Lonchura striata: one gene and its partner. The protein of the gene in region 1 interacts with the protein of each later gene in a biochemical or structural test. Links are inferred from orthologs where the notes say so. Each region holds a gene or a part of one and is shown on either strand. Other genes may lie near its edges.

Region 1 (9,180 bases):
TTTTTAGGTTTTTTTCTTTTTTTTTTTTTTGGAAAGCAACTCTTATTTACAATTATACAAAAGTTTTATAAAAAATGGTCCACAACCTTATTTTGGCCAGAACAGGAGTAATAGGAAGGATCTGTCATGCCACTACTGCTGTAGATTTCTATTTTCCTCCACATTCAAGAGCCAGCTTCCTATTCCCCACAGCCCAGATTAAGTATTGGCCATTTCATGGTATACAATTTTATCTCTAGATGTATTAAATAACTTTAGTTTAACAACCAATAAATAACTATGTGTACTTTGAAGTGATACAGGTTTGCAAAGTTAGATAGTTGAAGGAATTTTCAGTGATATTTTAGAATTGGAACAAGTCTTAAGAAGTCTTTTCAACCTTAGAAGGCAGGTCTTGAGCAAGGCCAAACGGAGCAAATTGTTTTTGGTGCAGTCCAGCTGGAGGGCTCCTTATAGCACTTGGTAGATGGGGTTGCTGCTGCTGTTATCCTGGGGGAGTGGGGTGCAGTTGGTGGGGGAAGGAATTTGGGCTCCACCATCACTCAGGCTCACTCCTTCTGGAGGGGAACAGGGACTCCCTTCAGCAACAGTTTCCACCGCAGGCAGTATAGGGCATGTGGAATTATCTGTGGAAATCCTCTCTACAATGCTTGAGAGGCAATCGAGACTGGAAACAACAGAACTCTTCCCATGCTTTGGATCTGAAAAACAGACAAAAAAGTGCTCAGATTATCCAGTGGGTAATTAACATCAGTGGGCACTACACATTTGTGGGCATGTGAAGACTCAGAGGAAATGAGTATTGGTGAAGGACACCAATTATCAGAAAACAGATTGTAATTTCGAAATGGAAGAGAGGTCCAACCACAGTGTGCTGCTCTGGGGAAAGGGAGGATCTAAGGCTTCACTGAGTCCATAGAAAGGGAAGAGCAGATTTGAAATCAGTCATAAATTACTCCAATTTGGATCAATGATAGAGTACGAAGTCTTCATGTAGAATATAGATAATGCTGAAATTAGTTGCAGAGAATAACATACTTCTATCCAACTGTTAGATTTGCAAAATGGGAAATACAGATATAACACATCCCCATATTTGCAAATACACCTAGAAGAAATGCAGTGCCTCTACCAGCAACAATGGCTTGCTGGCTGGAAAGGCAGGTTTCTCTCTCAGCCCAGCTGGACAGGGAGCAGGCACAGGAAAGCTGCTGCACTGCCTGCCTCTGTCTCGGTGTTTCACACCGCCCTTAGGGCATGTACTCACCATTTGGGGACTCTGTGTAGTAGCTGCTGTCATAGCTGTTCCTTCTGCGAGAGCTGCAGGGAGGCCCGCTGTACTCCATCTGGGAAGGAGAGAAATCCAAGTGAGATCAGACTTTTACCCAAATCCCAGGAACCATCTAATTTCATATTTCAGGCTCTGGCCATCGTTCCAGTCCTGTCTGGAATGCCATCAAGTTGTAGATTCTCTGAGTAAGGAAAAACATGGCTAGAAGGGGGTCCACCCCAGGATATTTTATGTGGCACAGCTGTTCCACAGGAAAGTTATCACCCTTGCATCGAATGCTGCAGCTTTACAAATGAGATGAGGCTTTCCAGAATTCTGATCAGATACAGCCCTTCATGTATCTTTCGTTTACAACAGAGAGATTTGAGTGTCCTGAAACCTGTGTGAAATGTGAATTGTCTTTTTAATTTAGTTTTTAAAGATTTTTCTAAACATTAATTCCTCTTTAAAAGCCTCAGTCTACCCTGTTCCTTTGTATTTCCTTCAGTTTCTCTTCCCATTTCCATTTCATATAGAAAGTGCTCTATGAAATTGACTAATGCATTTTTTTTCCAATACTTTAATCCACAATGAAATTCCTCTATTAAAAGAGGTTGTATCTTGAAGAGGAATAATTTGTGTAAATCTCTCCAATGTGTTAAGTCTTTCATAATCACAGATACACAACTCAGTAGTGACTATCCCCACCAGAGCACAAAAAGCAATCTCTGGTCTGAAAGGGCAGTTCATGGCCTATCCAGAGAGCTGTCCTGGACTCTGGTCACCGCATCCTACCAGCCCAGAGTCACACCAGAGGCTGAACCTACAGCCCCAGCCAAAAGATGTGGGGGTGAGACACCCTCTCTGGCACCCACCCTTCTTCTCCCATGCCCATAATGTACAATCAAGACAAAAAGCCTGGATTCTCCTTCCTATTGCTTGTAAAGATCTATGGAGGGGATGAAGTGCGAGAGAAGAGAAATGGAGAATCTTTTTCTTAAGGGTCCAGAAAAATAACTCTTGTTGCTTAGACACTCCTCCTGTTGTAATGATGAATGGAAGAAAACAAAACCCAGACTCTTACCAGTTCCTGTGTAACTACCATGTCCTAGAGGGCCCTTGCTCTCTGCTGTCCTTAGAGGATTCAAAGGTAATGATACAGCAGAAGATGGAAACAGAGATGCCTCAGGATCTACGGGATCACAGGCAATGCCCCCAGGGTGCCCATTCCAGGCAGCTTCCCAAAGTTCTCCCCCAGCAGCTTTTCCCTGGCTCCTCCAGGACATGGGGAACCTGCCTAACTTCTTATCCCAGGGAACAAAATGTGTATGAGATTCTTCTTTCCCAAAACTCCTGTCATGTGGGGACCCCACCTCCCTTCGCCGCGAGTGCTCAAGGCACGAGAAAGGACTTTGTCTTCTGCCTGGGGAGGTACAGAAGGCAGCTGCTATAGGAAGGGCAGGTGACTTGCCCTGCTCAGGTTTGGACCAACAGCGTCCAGGGCACCTTGGTGGCAGGGAGTCCTCCCTGGGGCACTCACCATGCCATCGGAGCAGTTGGAGCGGGGGCTGGAGGCGTCCGACTCCCCGCTGTAGTGCTCCAGCACGGGGTAATAAGCGTCCTCCTGCTCCCGCAGCAGGGCCTGCAGGCTCTCGATGTAGCGGATGGCGTTGCGCAGGATCTCCACCTTGGGCAGGCGCTGGTTGGGGTTGGTGGAGGTGCAGCGCTTGAGGGTCTCGAAGGCCTCGTTGACCTTGCTGAGCCGCCGGCGCTCCCTCATGGTGGCGGCCTTACGGCGGTCGGCGTTGGTGGTCTTCCTCTTGCACGCCTTGCAGGCCCACAGCAGGCAGCGGCCAGCCTGGTGGTGCCCGCTGGGCGCCCGGACGTGCTCCTCCTCGTGCCCGTGGTGGTGCCCGTGGTGGTGCGGGTGCTCCTCGGGCTTCAGCAGACCCCCGACGTGCACCAGCCGCGGATCCAGGTCCTCGAAGAAGTGCATGTCCGACGTGTTGAAGCACGGGTCATCGTAGAAGTCATCGGCGGCTGTGAAGGAGCAGAGGGAGCCCTCCGTCATCTCCATGGGGCCAAGTAAGTCCATGGGGGCGGCAGAGGGGACAGCGGCCCGGCCAGAGGGGACAGCGAGGGGCTCGGACGGAGGGGCCTTCCACCGGGCTGCTCTGCCGAGCCGAGACTCTCGCAGCCTCTGCCAGGCGAGGCCACCAGCGCTGGCTGCTGCCCCGACCCCTCCGCAGCCGCGCCGGTCCGGGAGCGCCACTCGGGGCCGTATTTATGGCCGAGCCCCCCGGCGCGGCGGGTCGGGACGGGGCGGGGCGGGTCGGGGGGCGCGGCCGGGCGGGTCGGGGGCCGGGGCGGCGGGGGGGCGCGGTGTCCCGCAGGGGCAGCGGCAGCCCGGGCGCTCGGATGCGCGCAGGGCTACATTTCCCCCGGGTTTTGTTTTTTCCTGCCTCAGCAGCCCGCCCTGCCGCCGCGCCGGGGAGAGCAGCCGCCCCGATGCCCGAAGGTGCCGGGTGCCGCTCGCCCGGGGGGACGCACCGAACACACCGGTGGCGGCTCCGCTGGTTCCTCACAGGGAAAAAGCCCCCAGCCCCTGGGCAGGTCTGTCCGCGGCTCCACGGACACAAGGGTAATTACTGCGGGGGCGTTCGTGGGGGTGGGCGGCTCCAGGGGACACCGCGGGCAGCAGGGGCCGTGCGGGCCGGCGGGGAAGCGGGGACACCGCGGGGACACGGCGGAGAGGCGGGAGGTGCGGGGCAGGAGGGACGCGGGGACACGGCGGACAGGCGGGAGGTGCGGGCAGAGGGGACGCGGGGACACGGCGGACAGGCGGGAGGTGCGGGCAGAGGGGACGCGGGGACACGGCGGACAGGCGGGAGGTGCGGGCAGAGGGGACGCGGGGACACGGCGGACAGGCGGGATGGGCAGGTGGCGGCCGCCCGGTGGCGCTGCGGGCCTGTCCCAGCGGGAAGCGCCGCCGTGGCCGCGGTGCGCCTGCCTTCCTTGCCTCGGGAACCCCTGCGAACGCTGGCATTCCGGGTTCCTCTTCCAGCTCTGTTCGCCTTCACTCGGAAGCCTTGGGAGGGATGGATCTCAGGTCGCGCCGTGGCGTTTTGCTGCGGTTGCGCTGCAGTTGGACGGCTGAAGGATTATATTCTAGCAGCGGGAGAGTTTGGAGCTTGGGGAAATGGCATCCCATTTTAGTATCGTCTGTCAAGGGTGACAGAGTTTTTACTCTGTTTTTTTGAGTATCATTTGAGATGAGAAATTAGGTTCTCCTCAGAGGAATTAAGTAATTCAATTATGTGATTTCACTGACTTAATGATTAAAATAGAATTGCATATATTTAATGTCCCAAAAGCTAAAAATAATTTCTGTTCTGCAGTTATAAATGTTGGCAAAATTTCAGCTCATTCAAAATCAGCAGCAAAGCTCTGTTTCCAGTGGGATAAGGGGCTGACTGACAAAATCGCAAAAGGTAAAAAACATCCATCAATGATCAATTCCCAGTCCCTGTGCCTATGACTTCTCAGATGGACTGTCATGATGGTGGCTTCTTTTGTTGTTACACGATTTGTTTTTTGGCAAAAATTCCTAAATTGCACTCCCCATTTTCTACTTGCCTAAATATCTTTGAGTACAGACCAAGATTAGAACTGTAAATGGCATTCTCTCAGTATCTCTAAAAGATAAAAGTTTTATTTAAAGATAAAGCTATACGTAGAAATTCATTCTTTCAAAGTACCCAATGCTGAAAAGCAATATGTCCCAAGGAGGGAGATCAGCTACTGGCCACCCCTACACATTTAGAAATGTATCTCCCAGCTGTTTCTGAAAGGCAGAGTGACAATTTTGTGGAGACATTTCAATGTTATTACAGATGTTCTTTGATCCAGAAGCAATAAAGATAGTTGGTTTTAAATCTTTATTGAACAGCTAACAAAGTAAAAATAATTTGTATTGAAAATAGTGCAAGGTATACAATAATGTAAAATACATTTAAATGAGAAAGAGATTTATGCTGTAACAACTGAACATGTAAAATGGGATATGAAGGCTTTGTGCTGGCAGTGTGACCCACTCAAGACACTTAAACTCTCTCTAGACCATTGGCTTAATTTTTGGAAAAATGTAATTTTACCTAATCTTTAGTCATTATTATAGCCTATTCTGCCTTAGTGTGTTTGTAGCTTATATGTGACCCCAGGAAAAGACACTCTGGGACTTGAGTGAGTAGGGATTACCTTGGGCAAAGTGGTAACAAACAGTGGGGCTTGGACAAAGCCCCACTCTTTGGCAGTTGTTGGCAACTACAGAGAACTTGCCAACAATTGCCCATGAGTGTGGGCTCAAGTGCATGAATTCCTTCAAGTGAAAAGGTCAGGAGAAGGCTGTGACCACCAAGTGAATTCCACACAGTAGTCTTTCAGTGAAAGTGCCCTTGAGGACACCTTCCTTTGGGTTTGGACATGCTGGTCTCCAGACATGCCATCCAATCCTAACAATTATGATTCTGTGATTCCCTACTGGTGCCACCACTAACATCTACTTTCCAGTGCAATTCCCAAAGACATGTTTGTCCAGAAAGATGTTGCCATGTACAGTGAGTCCTAAAAAAAACGTTCTTGCAAAGAACAAACCCTGAGATGCTCTTCCCAGTTTTGTGTGGCCACAGTGGAGAGGATGAAGGACAGAACAATCTCCACTTGGAGATTTTCAAGGGCATTCCTCACTCTGAGAGCAGGCAACCATAGGTAGTGTTTATGGCAAGCATTTACAAGGATTCCATTGTTAAACCTCTTTGAAAGCCTCTGGGGCTGTAATCATAATTTCTGTAAAGATTAGGTCTCTCCTGATCTTCCAGTTTGGATGCTATGTTTAGGGTACTGGTGCTGCACTAGCTATTCAGAGCTTTCCCAGGTTGTGTGGAATGTTTGGGCACTGCTTTGGTAGTACAGATACAGAGAGTGTGGCTCAACAAGCATTCAGCAGAGAATTTGTAAAGTTTCTATAAGAGCTGTTTCCCTTAACCTATTCTACATTCATCCTTGGTATATTATTTTTCAGGATGTGATTGAAAAGGAAGCTGGGAAGGCAGAAGCAGATTGTACTTCCTACATTGAAAAACATGGATAGATTCATCCTGTACACAACTGACAGGTATTGTTAAATCTGAGACCATATTCACAAGCATGTATGCCCCCTCAGCAGAAGCAGCATGTGGACAAGGAGAGCTTATTATCTGCAGTAATTGCTTGATTTATCTTTTCTTTTTTGGAGGATAGGGGCTGGGGAAACAGCTGATTTTGAGTTTATCTGGAATTAACAGAATTGTCTTTAGAGGCAAAGGCCCAGAACATGTTCTGGCAAAGGAAAAGGGAGAGAAAAAGACTTAAATCCTCAGAGTATGTGGTTACATTTGGTTAGAAGATGAACATGAGAAGTCTGAGAAACAGACATGGCACTACTTCATGGGAAAATAAGAGTCAAGTAAGTCTAGCTCTGAAAAATTTAGAAGATGTATTATTTGTTATGTTGGACTTTGTTAAATGCTGTAAACCATGGAGGAAGCTGTAACTACGTTTCGGGTCATCAGCTTTTAAAAGGTGAAGGTTGTTGTACAAGTAGGTCAAACATTACTAGTAGTACATGAAGTAGTTTTATGCAGCACTAGTTTAGAATTCAGTTAGTAGCTTTGCTCTGTTCACACTTAGTGAGCTGTATTTTAACACTGAGAGGGATGGATTCCATTGCTCTTATTCATGTTGAGTTGCAGTCAGTGGAACTAATTGTTGAATAAGGTATGCTCAGCATGAGGATGGGTGACGGAATCTAGCCCAGATGGAAATATCTTTTAGACTCCTGCTGTATTAGAGATCAGCAATCTCAACAAAGGCAAATCTAGCATGATTTTAAAAGTGCTTTGAGCCATTCTTGTGGCACTTGGCAGTATTTTTATTAATTAACACAGAGGTTGTTTTAATGTAGTTGTGTTCGCCATCCCCACCCCAAAGCTGGACCACATTCACAGAAAAGATTGGGAAAACATCTGCATTGATTACATTGATTTCTATCCCATGTTACAACACCAACAGAAGGTGGGCTTTGCAGAAATTGCTACTTAATTGCTACTGTAGCTCTATCAGAGTTTACTAAAAATGTTTCATTATGCAGTGCTTTTAGAGTAATGCAGTTTTCTGGCATTTATTTTCACTCCGTCATACTCTTCCATCATGCACAACTTCCTCAGATGCAAAAAAATACTGGCACAGTTTTGTACACATACAAAATCTCTTGGAGAAGAACATGAGCATGCCTGGGTGGTGAATTGAGGAATACACTGGAGATGCAGACATAGAACTGAATTTATTTTTAAGCAAAACAGGAGTATCAGCTAAAGTAGTACACAAAAGTGTGAGGCAATCTTCCAATTAATCAAATGCCAACTACAGAAAAGATGTATATAATGACAAAAAATCCCTAACTGCAGGCAGCTGATCTGGCCAGTTGCTCTTCTTAGGTGACCTTGGGAGCCAGGCTACAGAATGAGGTACTCTGGTAGGGGACTAATGAGAGGAATTTGGACACCTCTGCACTTGAACCAAGCTCACTGACACTGCCCTAATTGAAAGGCAAAACTAATGAGTAACCATTCTCTTTGATGCACTTCTATTTAAGTGTGCTGTTTTTTCACTAGGATCTCATGCCCCTACTTCGAACCAAATAGGGAATATAAGAAGTAGCAGGAGTGCCACAGTAATACCTTTAGTGAGCTAGCTGAGACAGGGCTCTGTATCATAATTAAAGCAATCATCCTGTGTTAAGTCTGGACAAAGCTACTGTCTTTGGTGACACATGCAAAATATGCCCTAGAACCTCTAAAGTTCTCATCTAATGAGAACTCCTAATTTCTCTCTCATCTACTTTCTGAGGATGAGAAAAGGCAGCTAGGAAATAGCTATAAAGAAATCAGCACATTTTCTTATTCCCACTGTTGAGGAAATGTTTGTATCCTTCATCCTGAAGTATACCACCAGAAATAGCTGATCAGTAATTCATTAGACTACTTATTTAAATTGCTACTATGATAGAAATAAGAAAAAAACCCATTGTTTTTGAACAAGTATTTTTAAAAAGTTCATTATTTTACTATACTTGTTAGTAATTTTAAATACCGAATAGTAAAATAAAATATTCAGTAATATAAAACTAGTATTTGGATTTTCTGCCATGTAAAAGTTTCCTTGCACTAAAGGTACAGTGATTTCTTTTTTATTTGTTTTAACAAAATTTATATATATATTCATAAAATAATTTGCACTAATTGATCCTATTAATCATTTAAGAGAGAGGAGAAGCTTAAGAACTTTTGGCTTCTAGGAAGAATTGCATAGATAAATGTGACAGTCTAGCTGGCAACCTTGCTATCATTTAAAGCTAACAGTGGTACAGGCTAGATTTTGAGCTGTGACTCAGCAAAGGATGAGGGAATGGGGTGTAAAGCAGGAGGAGGGAGGGAGCATCATGTCTCCTGAGCTTTGGTCCCAGCTTCACCCTCAGGAGAGGTCTGCCTGAGGAGCTGCCCTGTAGCTGCAGCAGCCTGAGCATTAAAGGCCCTCCCTGCCCTGCTTCACCTTTGCTCCTGTGCCATTGTTACACTGTGGCAGCATCGTGGTGCAGTGAATGGTTGCATATATTGGCCCTATGCCATTTCTGTGCTGGGAGCATTCTCTCTGGGGTCGCTTCAGACCTTCTGCAGCTCCTGTGCACTGCTGGAGAGGTGGGCAGGGGCTGCAGTGATCACTGGACTCTGGCTCTATGCTGGTTCTGAACTCTTTTTGCAGCCGATCCATAAAGTAATCCCCAAGACTATTTTTGCCATCCTGGGAACAGTCAA
Region 2 (9,289 bases), about 8.6 Mb from region 1:
AGGCATCCAGCCCCTTGTCCAAAGCCAACCCCTTTGGGGCCGTATTTTCTCCCATAACAGGTTTTGCAGTAGATTTCAGATTCGTGAGCTGCTACTGTGGTGCTGTCCAGAGCCTTCCTGCAAGCCACTGAAAACAGGGAGAGAAAGGCACGTATCAGCAGTTGCCTTTTCAAATTTGAATTTATGTGGTCTAAAATAATTGCAATTAGTATTTCTTTTTGTTTAGCTTTAAAAATGTGGGGAAAGGAGCCAGCCAGCATGAAACTTGTCGGTATGAAACTTGACTGGGCTGTTGCTGAAGAGGGAGGTATGTGTGTATGCACATAACCTGTTCTTCTTTTGCCACTATGAAGTTAATCCTGTAACCCCAGGGAAATCTAGATCTGTGAAGCTTAAAATGGGCTTGAGATTGAAATTGGGCATCCTGAACTCCCAAACCTTAAATAAGGGGGGAAAGGTGTTGCAGGGACATTGATCTGAACTTCTCAGAATACTTGCTCTGAGTCTGTGGGGGCTTTCTCAGCTCAGCCCAGGCTGTTTTGATGTGTGTTTCTGAAAGAGGCTTTAACACTGACTCCTCTCTGGAGTCAGACAGGACATATTAGGGGTTTTTTTGCCATTATTTTTTTGTTGGAGCTGTAACACCAAGGCAAAGCAAGCGTCAGCTCTGTCAGACTTCCTCCAGGATGACAGGAGTGTAGCTGTAGCCATTCCCAAACAGAGCTCTTACAAATCATCTTTGGTACAGAGAACGACAGCTTAGCTTAGCTCACTAAGAAAGGTCTGGCAGACTTTTGGACAGAAGGTGTCATAGGAATGCCCAGCTTTCATCAGGGAGTACAAATACAAATTACAGATTATGTTCTCTACAGCACTCTTAATAATCAATGGGGAAAAAATATAGTAGCTACACTCCTCACTGCTTAGGGAGCCTGTGTTTGCTGCACCACTTGGGGAACTCAGCGTGAGACAACCTCCACCCCACAGAGAGAGAGAGGAAGATCTTCCAATTCAGAGTCTCTCTTGAAAACCACGATTTTGCAGTATGCTAAAACATTACTATTTCAGTACTTCTTACAAACTCTTCACTGTTCAACAGCGATTGATTAGAAACGGGAAAAAAATAAGCAAAAACTTTCTCTTCAGGTTCCTTAGTACAATGCTTGCCCTGCAGAGGGCATTCCAGGCACGGGTTATTGATAGCTTGGGAAAGTTGCTGAGTTCACGTATGCAACAGAAAGCTGTGTAATACAGAGGTGTTGGAAGTGTCTAGAAGTGGAAGTTCTGGAGGAGCTGCCTGAGGGTTTGATTAGCACCTTTCCTCCACGTTTACTTTCAATGTCCTCCTCTCAATCCTATTTATTCACCGCAGGGAATTTACATCCTGCAACCTCTGCAGCTTTTATTACAGACTCCTAGAATGGTTTGGGTTGGAAGTGACTTTAAAGATCATGCAGTTCCAACCCCCAGACCAGGTTCCTGTTAAGGGGCAGTATAACTAGGTATACATCCCCAGCTCTCTGGTTATCTTTGTGGCTTTCCTCCTCCCTGTATTGCATGAAGGAAGAAATAATTTGCAAAGACCTTTATACTAAACAGAAGTAAAATTAGGCACTTCTGTAAATGTGTGAACCTGATCTCCTCATACTACAGTCTTGCTTTGAGATGATAATTGTATTTGCTAAGGGAGTTAAGGGATGATGGAAACTCTAGCAGTGGATTAAGTGTTTCTATTTCTGGTACCTTAGGGATAGGGTATTAATTCACCACAACAGATGGAGCAAAAGGCCTTGAAGTGCTGTTGAAATAACTTTGAGACCTGTCATCTGCCAACAGCTCCTGTTCTCCTGCCGGCACTGAGGAGATCCAGGTTGGTGGTGTGAGATCCTGCCAAATGTCCATCACAGCTGCACTTTGGGTAAAAGCTGTCAGTGAAACATCAGTCTGCAGGTGAGCAGGAGTCTGCATGGGAAGGAGGGATTGCTGGAAACAAATTTCTCTCTTGCAATACTTGTAGGGAAAAACTATGGAGCAGAGAGAGTGTTAGAAATAATTTAGCTTGTCTGATTCTTCCTGTGTTAACAGATTGCTTTGAGTTGTTTATAAATCTGCTGAAATTGAACTCTTTGACCAAAAAATACTGGTGTGTTTCACGTGTCTGGGCAAATATAATGTGAAATAGAAGATATATTTGAAATAATTCTATATAGAAATATACAAAAGTACAGCTAAATTGAGTGTTTGCATGCCTGAGTTTAGGGTTAAGGAAAAATTGGTTTCCTTCTGTTGAGAAATGAAATCCTATAAATGGTTCATAAAAAAGTTCACAAATGTGATAGATGATCCTGAGGCATTCAGAGCTTCTGAATAGTGTACATGAATCATGGGGGAAAGTAAAGCCAATTAACATACCTTTCATATGCCAGCTGGGCAACTTAGATGCATCTTTAAGTTTTGACCTTAAACATATTTCTGATGGGAATACTATTTTTAGTATCTAACATATTAATAATTAATTCAGACTTAAAACAAGGGACAAATAAAAGAACAACCAAAAAAAAAAAAAAAAACAACACAAAAAAACCCCAACAAAATACACTACCAACCAAGAAAAGCCCCACAACAAACTAAATATTTGATAGAGCTAATGAATGTAAGTTGTTTATCATGAATCACTAAAAGAAAATAATTAATTTGTACTATACTTGAGTAATAGTCGTAATTATGCTTCATAATTATGCTCTATTAGGATAGATCTTTATTTTTATTTACTATTTATTGTTATAGGCAGAACATGGAAGCATTTAGAAAGTTTTAGTTGAGACTGAGATTTTCCTTTTAACATTCTGTAAGAATTGGCTGAAGGTTGTCAGTTAACTGAAAATTTTTTGAGGGAATCTTTTCTTACTTGGCCTTTTAGGCATCACCAAAGGCATAATTTGGACTTTCAGGCATCACTTTTGGGGCACCTGGAGAAAGGCAAAGACAGCTCAGGTGTGTCCTTTGGTCTCATTCTGCAAAGAGCTGTTCTGTATCAGCTAAGCACATAAAGTTAGTCTGATGCCTCCAAATAAGAAGTCTCTATCCCTCCAGAAAGGGAGGGAGAAAATTGGATTCAGTGGCTCCTAAACTGTCATGCTGGGAGTCGGACTGCAAAAGTACCAATCCCAAGTATTGTCTGCAAAATCAACTCTTCAGCTGTCTTTATTTCTTAGCAAACTCTTTGCTTTCTCCCTCTCCACAAACGACAAACAGAGCTGAATTGGTACCTTCTCTCTGAAATTTTTTTGTTTTTTAATTTTTACCTCTTCTGCAGAGAAAGCAAAATTCCTGGAAGCCAAGCATCAGAGAGGAGTGTGGAGGGAAAGAGTAAGTGAAAAGGCATAGACCCTGTTCATTTCAAAATGGGACTACATGAAATATGGGGAGGAGGCTGAGGTAAGTGCAGAGTTGGTGGGAGGTTTTGATGACACCAGGGTCTTTCAGCTTTAAGGTGTGAAACAAATTAATGTCAGGATTCGCTGTGAAAGTAATCATCTCCTAAAAGTAAAGAAGTAATCATCCTTTTGTCTGATCAGTGCTGTTTGTTTAGTTCTGCTGGGCTTTTTAACCTGAAGGAACCTGTGGTATGCCACACTGTGGGACAGAAGGAAGAAAGTCCTGGAGATGGACTTAGATACTGGGATTCTGCAGCACCTTCATGTCCCTGACAAAATCCATCTCATATTTGGACAAAGAAAAGCCAGGAGCCCAAAAGGCAGATTGCTCCAGGTAAAAGGCAGCAAAACTGCCTGCCAAGTAATACAAAAATAAATGTTCTGGCTTTAATGGAAGAGTTATACAGAGCTATAGGGGTGCTGTGATGTTAAACCATTCAGCCCAGCTTACTGCAGAGGAAGCATGACTTGTGAAAGCTCCTTCCATTGCACTGGATTTCCTCAGCATGGTACACTGTCTTCTCACAGGCTCCACACTTGGCTCCTCCTCCCCAGTTCGGCATCCTTATCTGAAGGGTTAACCTAGGAAATCAAATTACATAAATAAATGCAACAGCAAATGTGAATTCTTTTAAATGGAACAGCTTGACTGAAAAAAATATATTTTTTTCCTCCCTCTCCAGTCAACTGCTACTGCATACTTGCAATATACTTCGTACCTGTGTGGTAGCAGAAGTGAGGGTGCTACCCTGGTGCTTTGAGGACAGGACAGTCCAAATCCCTGTGATTCTCTCGTAAAAAAGGATATTCCTTAGCTTGGAATATTGTGATGGTAAATATGTGAAATGATTGCGAGGTGTTTCAGTGAAAAGGTGCTAGGATCACTCAACCCTCTTCTGGAAAAGAGGGTCTAGGGTTTATTTTCCATCAAGTAGTCATTTTCTTTCAACACTGCCCTCTCCTGTACCCCAGCATAACCTTTTCTGAGTTCCTCATGAAGCAGCCACAAGATCTCTGTGCTGCACAGCCATTGTAAAGTAATAATGGACAGGTTGCTGAGGTGCTTGAGGTGTGGTTTTTTCCCTTTGTCAATTGTATTTAAAATTTAAACATCAAAGAAAACAAAGGGCCGTGGTTTCTGTTCCATTCTTGCTGTTCCAGTTTGTACTGAAGTGCCTTGCCCAAGGTCACACAGGAGGGCAGGAGTCCAGCCCAGGTCTCCTGATGTCAGGCTGAGTGCTTTTCCCTGTGATTATGCAGTCACACACCTGGAACAACCCCAGGCTCCAGTCTGCCCTCCTGTTTTCTTGTTTGAGTCATCGTTTCTGGAAAGACTGGGATGTCATCTGCACACAGAATTATCAGGTTGTTCCAAGCTCCTGGCACGGGCCTTCCTCCTCCTTCTTGGAAAACCAGTCACCTTCTTATTATAGTTATTTTGAAGCCTGCTTGTACTATTTGTGTTTGATTAAATTCACCAAAAGGTACTTTTAACTAAGAGGAGGATTTTGAAGGCTGAATCAGGCCTGCTACTTGAGAATTTTCTTCTGAGCTCAGGTGATAGAGAGAGGGGAATTTATCACAGCAGTGATGTAGCAGCTGGTCTTTTCAATTAGTTGCATTTTAGACTAGCATTTTACTATATATTTACATTGGACTAATGTCCTGTGCTTATCATCATCTCAGTGACTTCTGCACTTTAATCTTCTGGATTTCAGAATGAAATGAACAATGTCTGCATGCCAGCTCTGCACCGTGAGGGGAATCCTTTCTGACAACTAACACCAAAAATCCTGCAGTGGTATGAAAGACTTGTCTGTCCAGCGAAAGGAAGGGACACAGACTGAAGCAATAGCACTGGAGACATGGCAGTGGGGGCAGGTTTTGCAATCTGTGTTTGATAACAGTGCAGATACCAGCATATCCAAACATCTCTGCCTTACCACAGCAGTTATTAGCATATCCTTAACCCTGTGTAATTAAATGTCACTGTTGTAACTGCTACCTTCACTAGACAGTGTACCTGTCATCCTCGTGCAAGATCCAACCTCTCCTCCTCTTTGTGAGGCTGACTTCTGCTCAGCTGAGCACCCTCCCCAGCTCAGCCAGCCCAGCCTCCTGCTGTCACACTGCAGCAGCATTGTTAATCTCCTCCAGACCCTCCCAGCTCTCTTGGGAGGCTGCTCAGGAGCAGAACTGCTCTGGCAGTTCCAAAACAGCAATGATGCAGAAAGGAAATGAAAACTCAGCTTTTTTCTAACTCTGTTTATCTGTAATGTAACAAGTGAGAAGCAAAAAAAAAAAAAAAAAAAACCCTGATGTAGCTGAAATAAGAAACAAAACTCTGCACAATGAATAGATGATGAATTTGATCTCTCTCACTCAGTGAAGCTTTCACTGAACAGCACTGTTGAATTGGTTTTTCAATTTCTTTTAAATGTGAGATAATGGAACAGAAAGGAATCTTTCATGTAGGTAAAATCTTATTCTCACTCTACCATTCTATATTTTCTTCTGTTTTTAAAGTACTTTTGTATTGGTGCCATTTTTGCTTTCTCTTACAAAAACAGTTCAAGCAATACTTCAAACATTTTAAAAGAAGGAAGAGCAACTGTGGATAAAAATCAGTTTTGTGACACTTCCTTGAAAATTAAATGTGATTTTTTTTTTTTGTCTACAGTGTTCCCTTTCAAATCAGGTTTCCAGTGGAATCCCTTCCCAGCTGAGGCAGCACTGACAGCTGGCTGGGAGGAGAGTGGTTTGTACCTCTGGTCTCTGTAAAGCTGCTTCCTCTCTCTTAGGTCTCCTCAAAGGCACACCAAACCTCCAAAACTGTGGCAGCAAAGATAGTTGTTGGAAAGTAACTCCAATTACATCATCAGCTGAAGGGGAAAAAATAATCTCTGAAAAATTCTGATAAAGTATTGATAGTGAACCTTGTGCTGTCAAGGGCTGTGGTTGAAGCTCTTAGAAGGATCATTGTTCCTGAGGCTAATTATAGTAACATGACTGGGCATGCATACACATTTTCCATGGGTTTTTGGCATCACCTGATGGGAAGCTGTAGGAGAAAGAAGAAAGGCATGGCAGAAATATTTCTGTAAGGATACTGGTGTAAGAACAGGAGTGCATGCTATGATGTCTGTGCTGGCTGGAGGAACAGCTGGGTGAGTTACCAGGGCACATCTGTGCTCCTCCTGTCCGGGCTTTGCTCATCCCTTGGAGCTGAGTGGCCATCCCTGGAGATGCTGCCTGTGCAGCAGGGTCACCATGAGAAGGTAATCTCCACAGGGGATGTGGCACTCATGGTTTTGTACTCATCTAAATTATAACAGTGGACAAAGCTCCATCCTTTCAATAGAAATAGAAATCGGTCTCCCATTTGTCGTCAGAAGAAAATAGATCCAAAGTCTCCACTTCCCATAATTTCATTCGGTGTCAGTGTCTAAATCCCTGTGAAATTCCCTAACTTTGTTGTCTTAATCTAGTTAACTTTTCATGTCTGCTCATCACACGGTTATATTCTGGTGATCTGGTGGGAAGTGGAGCAGACTCATCCTAAAGGTAAGAAATGTGTGACACAGAAACTTCTGAGTGTTAGTTGCAACGTGTGGGCACTCAGGGTGCTGTCAGGCTGGAGGAGCATTCTCAGGCTTGCTCAAATGCTGTTCAGCAGCTTGTGTCATTCTTCAGAATGTAGCTTCTATATGGAGCAGAATTTATACATCAGATGTGCAGCCAAGGATTCATGCCTCCCATTATTTAGAGCTTATATCACTACTTTGTAGGCTGGGTTTGGAGCAAGGAAGCCTTTGAAGTGTTGGTGTGCTCCCAACAGGCATGAAAACATTGTGATCTGTCTTCTTTTGGGCTCTTAGTCATACTGTCCAAATCTGGGTGTCTAATCTGTCAGATTAGAGGGTCTCTCTCTAATCAAAGTGCTATTGATAAGGATAAAATCCATAAATTAATTTTGATCCATTGATCTAAGTGGGTGGTGGATGCACTTCAGGCCTGATGCAATGTGGAGTAAAAGGCAGTGCTAATGCCTGACTGAGCTGCAGGTGAAAAATGTGATTAATTAATGAATTAATTGGAATTAATTCTGGTGCTTCCTTGCTAAACACAAGGTTTTCTCTTCTGTGTGCTCAAGCATTTGACAGTCTAGAGCTCAGGTATTATCTGAATGGACTGCTGAGTTGTGTATTTGCCACATGTGCTGCAGGATGGCTTTGAAGGGGATAAGCAGAATGGGCAATATTGGTCTTTGTGACCACTGGCAGTAGAAATGCTGAGTGGGAGTGGTGGGCAGGGTGTGCCTTGCATCCCTCTGCATTTTAGTCCCAGCTAAGCTGCTTAGTCCAAACTCAGAGGATAAGAAAACCGATTCCTTGATTCCTTACCTAACACACAAGCAATAATAATATAAAACTCACACATCCCTGTCTACATTGAAATGCAAAGTATCAAGGCCGTATTGGAAATTCTTTTCCCAGCTGAAGTCTGTGGGAATGCTACTGCAGCCAGAACTTAACTCTGGTATCTAATCACAGCTCTGCTGTGGCCTGTCCTGTGACCACCGTGACTCATTTGACCGTCCTTAGTGGTACTCACCCCACCAGCAACGGGGGCTAACAAGATATGTCTTCCTTTATATAATAGCCATCAAATGCTGCTGTGGTTTTTCTCTGCAGCTGACACTCACGGTGAGGTTTGCTTTTGATGTGTCTGCATTTGAGCTGCCACTACATCTCGAACAGCCTGGAGGTGTTTCTGTCAAAATCCAGCCCCTTGTGGGACATGCTTCTCCCTCAGCAGGAGAGATTCACAACAGAGGGAAGACTGAGCTCATTTGTGTTTGAAGACTGAGCTCATTTGATGGAGATGTGATCTTGTTATGTGTTTATAATCATATTTCTGATATTCCAATGCATTCACTGGGCTGTGGCTACAGGTAAATTTTCTTAGTCAGTGTCATACATTGAGGTTCCACCACAATCTCATAATAACCAGCATTTTCCCTTTTACATCTTGTTGCAGTAAAGCAACACAGAGAGGTCAAGGTATGGGAATTCTAACACTGGAAAGTAAATATTGATTTTTCACTGACACTAGTCATGCTAAGTTACACGTGGCACTTTGAAACAAAAGATTTTAACTGACTTGATGTGAAGCACATGTGCATTGCTGAGGGGTGATAGTGCCCCATTCCCTTGCTTTTATATCTGTTCTTCCACTTTTTCTATTATTTTCTAGCCTAGTTATGCCACTTGTCCTTTGAAACTTCCTTGATGCACACTTTTGCAGAAATTTAAGATTGCATCTCCAAAAAATACATTATCCTGACTCTAGAACAAGGTACTTAATTCTGACTTAAAAACCAGCCCCACCCCACATTGGCATGTTGCACACTCACACTCATGGTTCAGTCTGATCCATGTGGCTGTGGAAAGCTGCACCCTGCTGTACAAATGACCCATTCAATTTTCCAGGCTTTATCCTGGGCTACCAGCTTTCAGTATTCCTTCCACAAGATCCTTCTCTAAATCCTTATCCCTGCACTAAGTCCATTAAGTGCCAGGCAAAACTGTTACAGACTTTGAAATAGTACTGTGATGACCAAGATAAGACACAGAATTATTTTATCTACATGCATGTCTTTACCTTTTTTCACCTTTAGGCAGAAAACTATTAAAAACACATATGTATTTATGTAGTTATTTATTTATTTGAATGATTGAGGTTTTGTTCTGAAGATTAGACCAATCATGCTCTCTTAGAATGCTTGAATAATGGATTTGGGAATAATTCTTTCATCCTGCATTCTTACCTAACCATTTCTTGTCAAATCT

Evidence for each region.
Region 2: the proteins of MYOD1 (region 1) and CSRP3 form a complex in vitro, tested with the Homo sapiens proteins (2 studies listed by BioGRID and IntAct, with this or other methods). The link is inferred for Lonchura striata from reciprocal best matches to the Homo sapiens genes MYOD1 and CSRP3.

What each region holds. Positions count from the first base shown.
Region 1 is NC_134608.1:48,598,986-48,608,165, forward strand, and holds the start of MYOD1 (myoblast determination protein 1), read right to left. Parts: upstream 3,517-9,180; 5' UTR 3,366-3,516; coding exon 2,811-3,365; intron 1,347-2,810; coding exon 1,268-1,346; intron 702-1,267; coding exon 451-701; 3' UTR 1-450. Other genes in the region: ferritin light chain, read right to left, coding at 8,891-9,180. UniProt on the Homo sapiens protein: Acts as a transcriptional activator that promotes transcription of muscle-specific target genes and plays a role in muscle differentiation. Together with MYF5 and MYOG, co-occupies muscle-specific gene promoter core region during myogenesis.
Region 2 is NC_134608.1:57,241,272-57,250,560, reverse strand, and holds the start of CSRP3 (cysteine and glycine-rich protein 3), read right to left. Parts: upstream 4,001-9,289; coding exon 3,889-4,000; intron 128-3,888; coding exon 1-127. UniProt on the Homo sapiens protein: Positive regulator of myogenesis. Acts as a cofactor for myogenic bHLH transcription factors such as MYOD1, and probably MYOG and MYF6.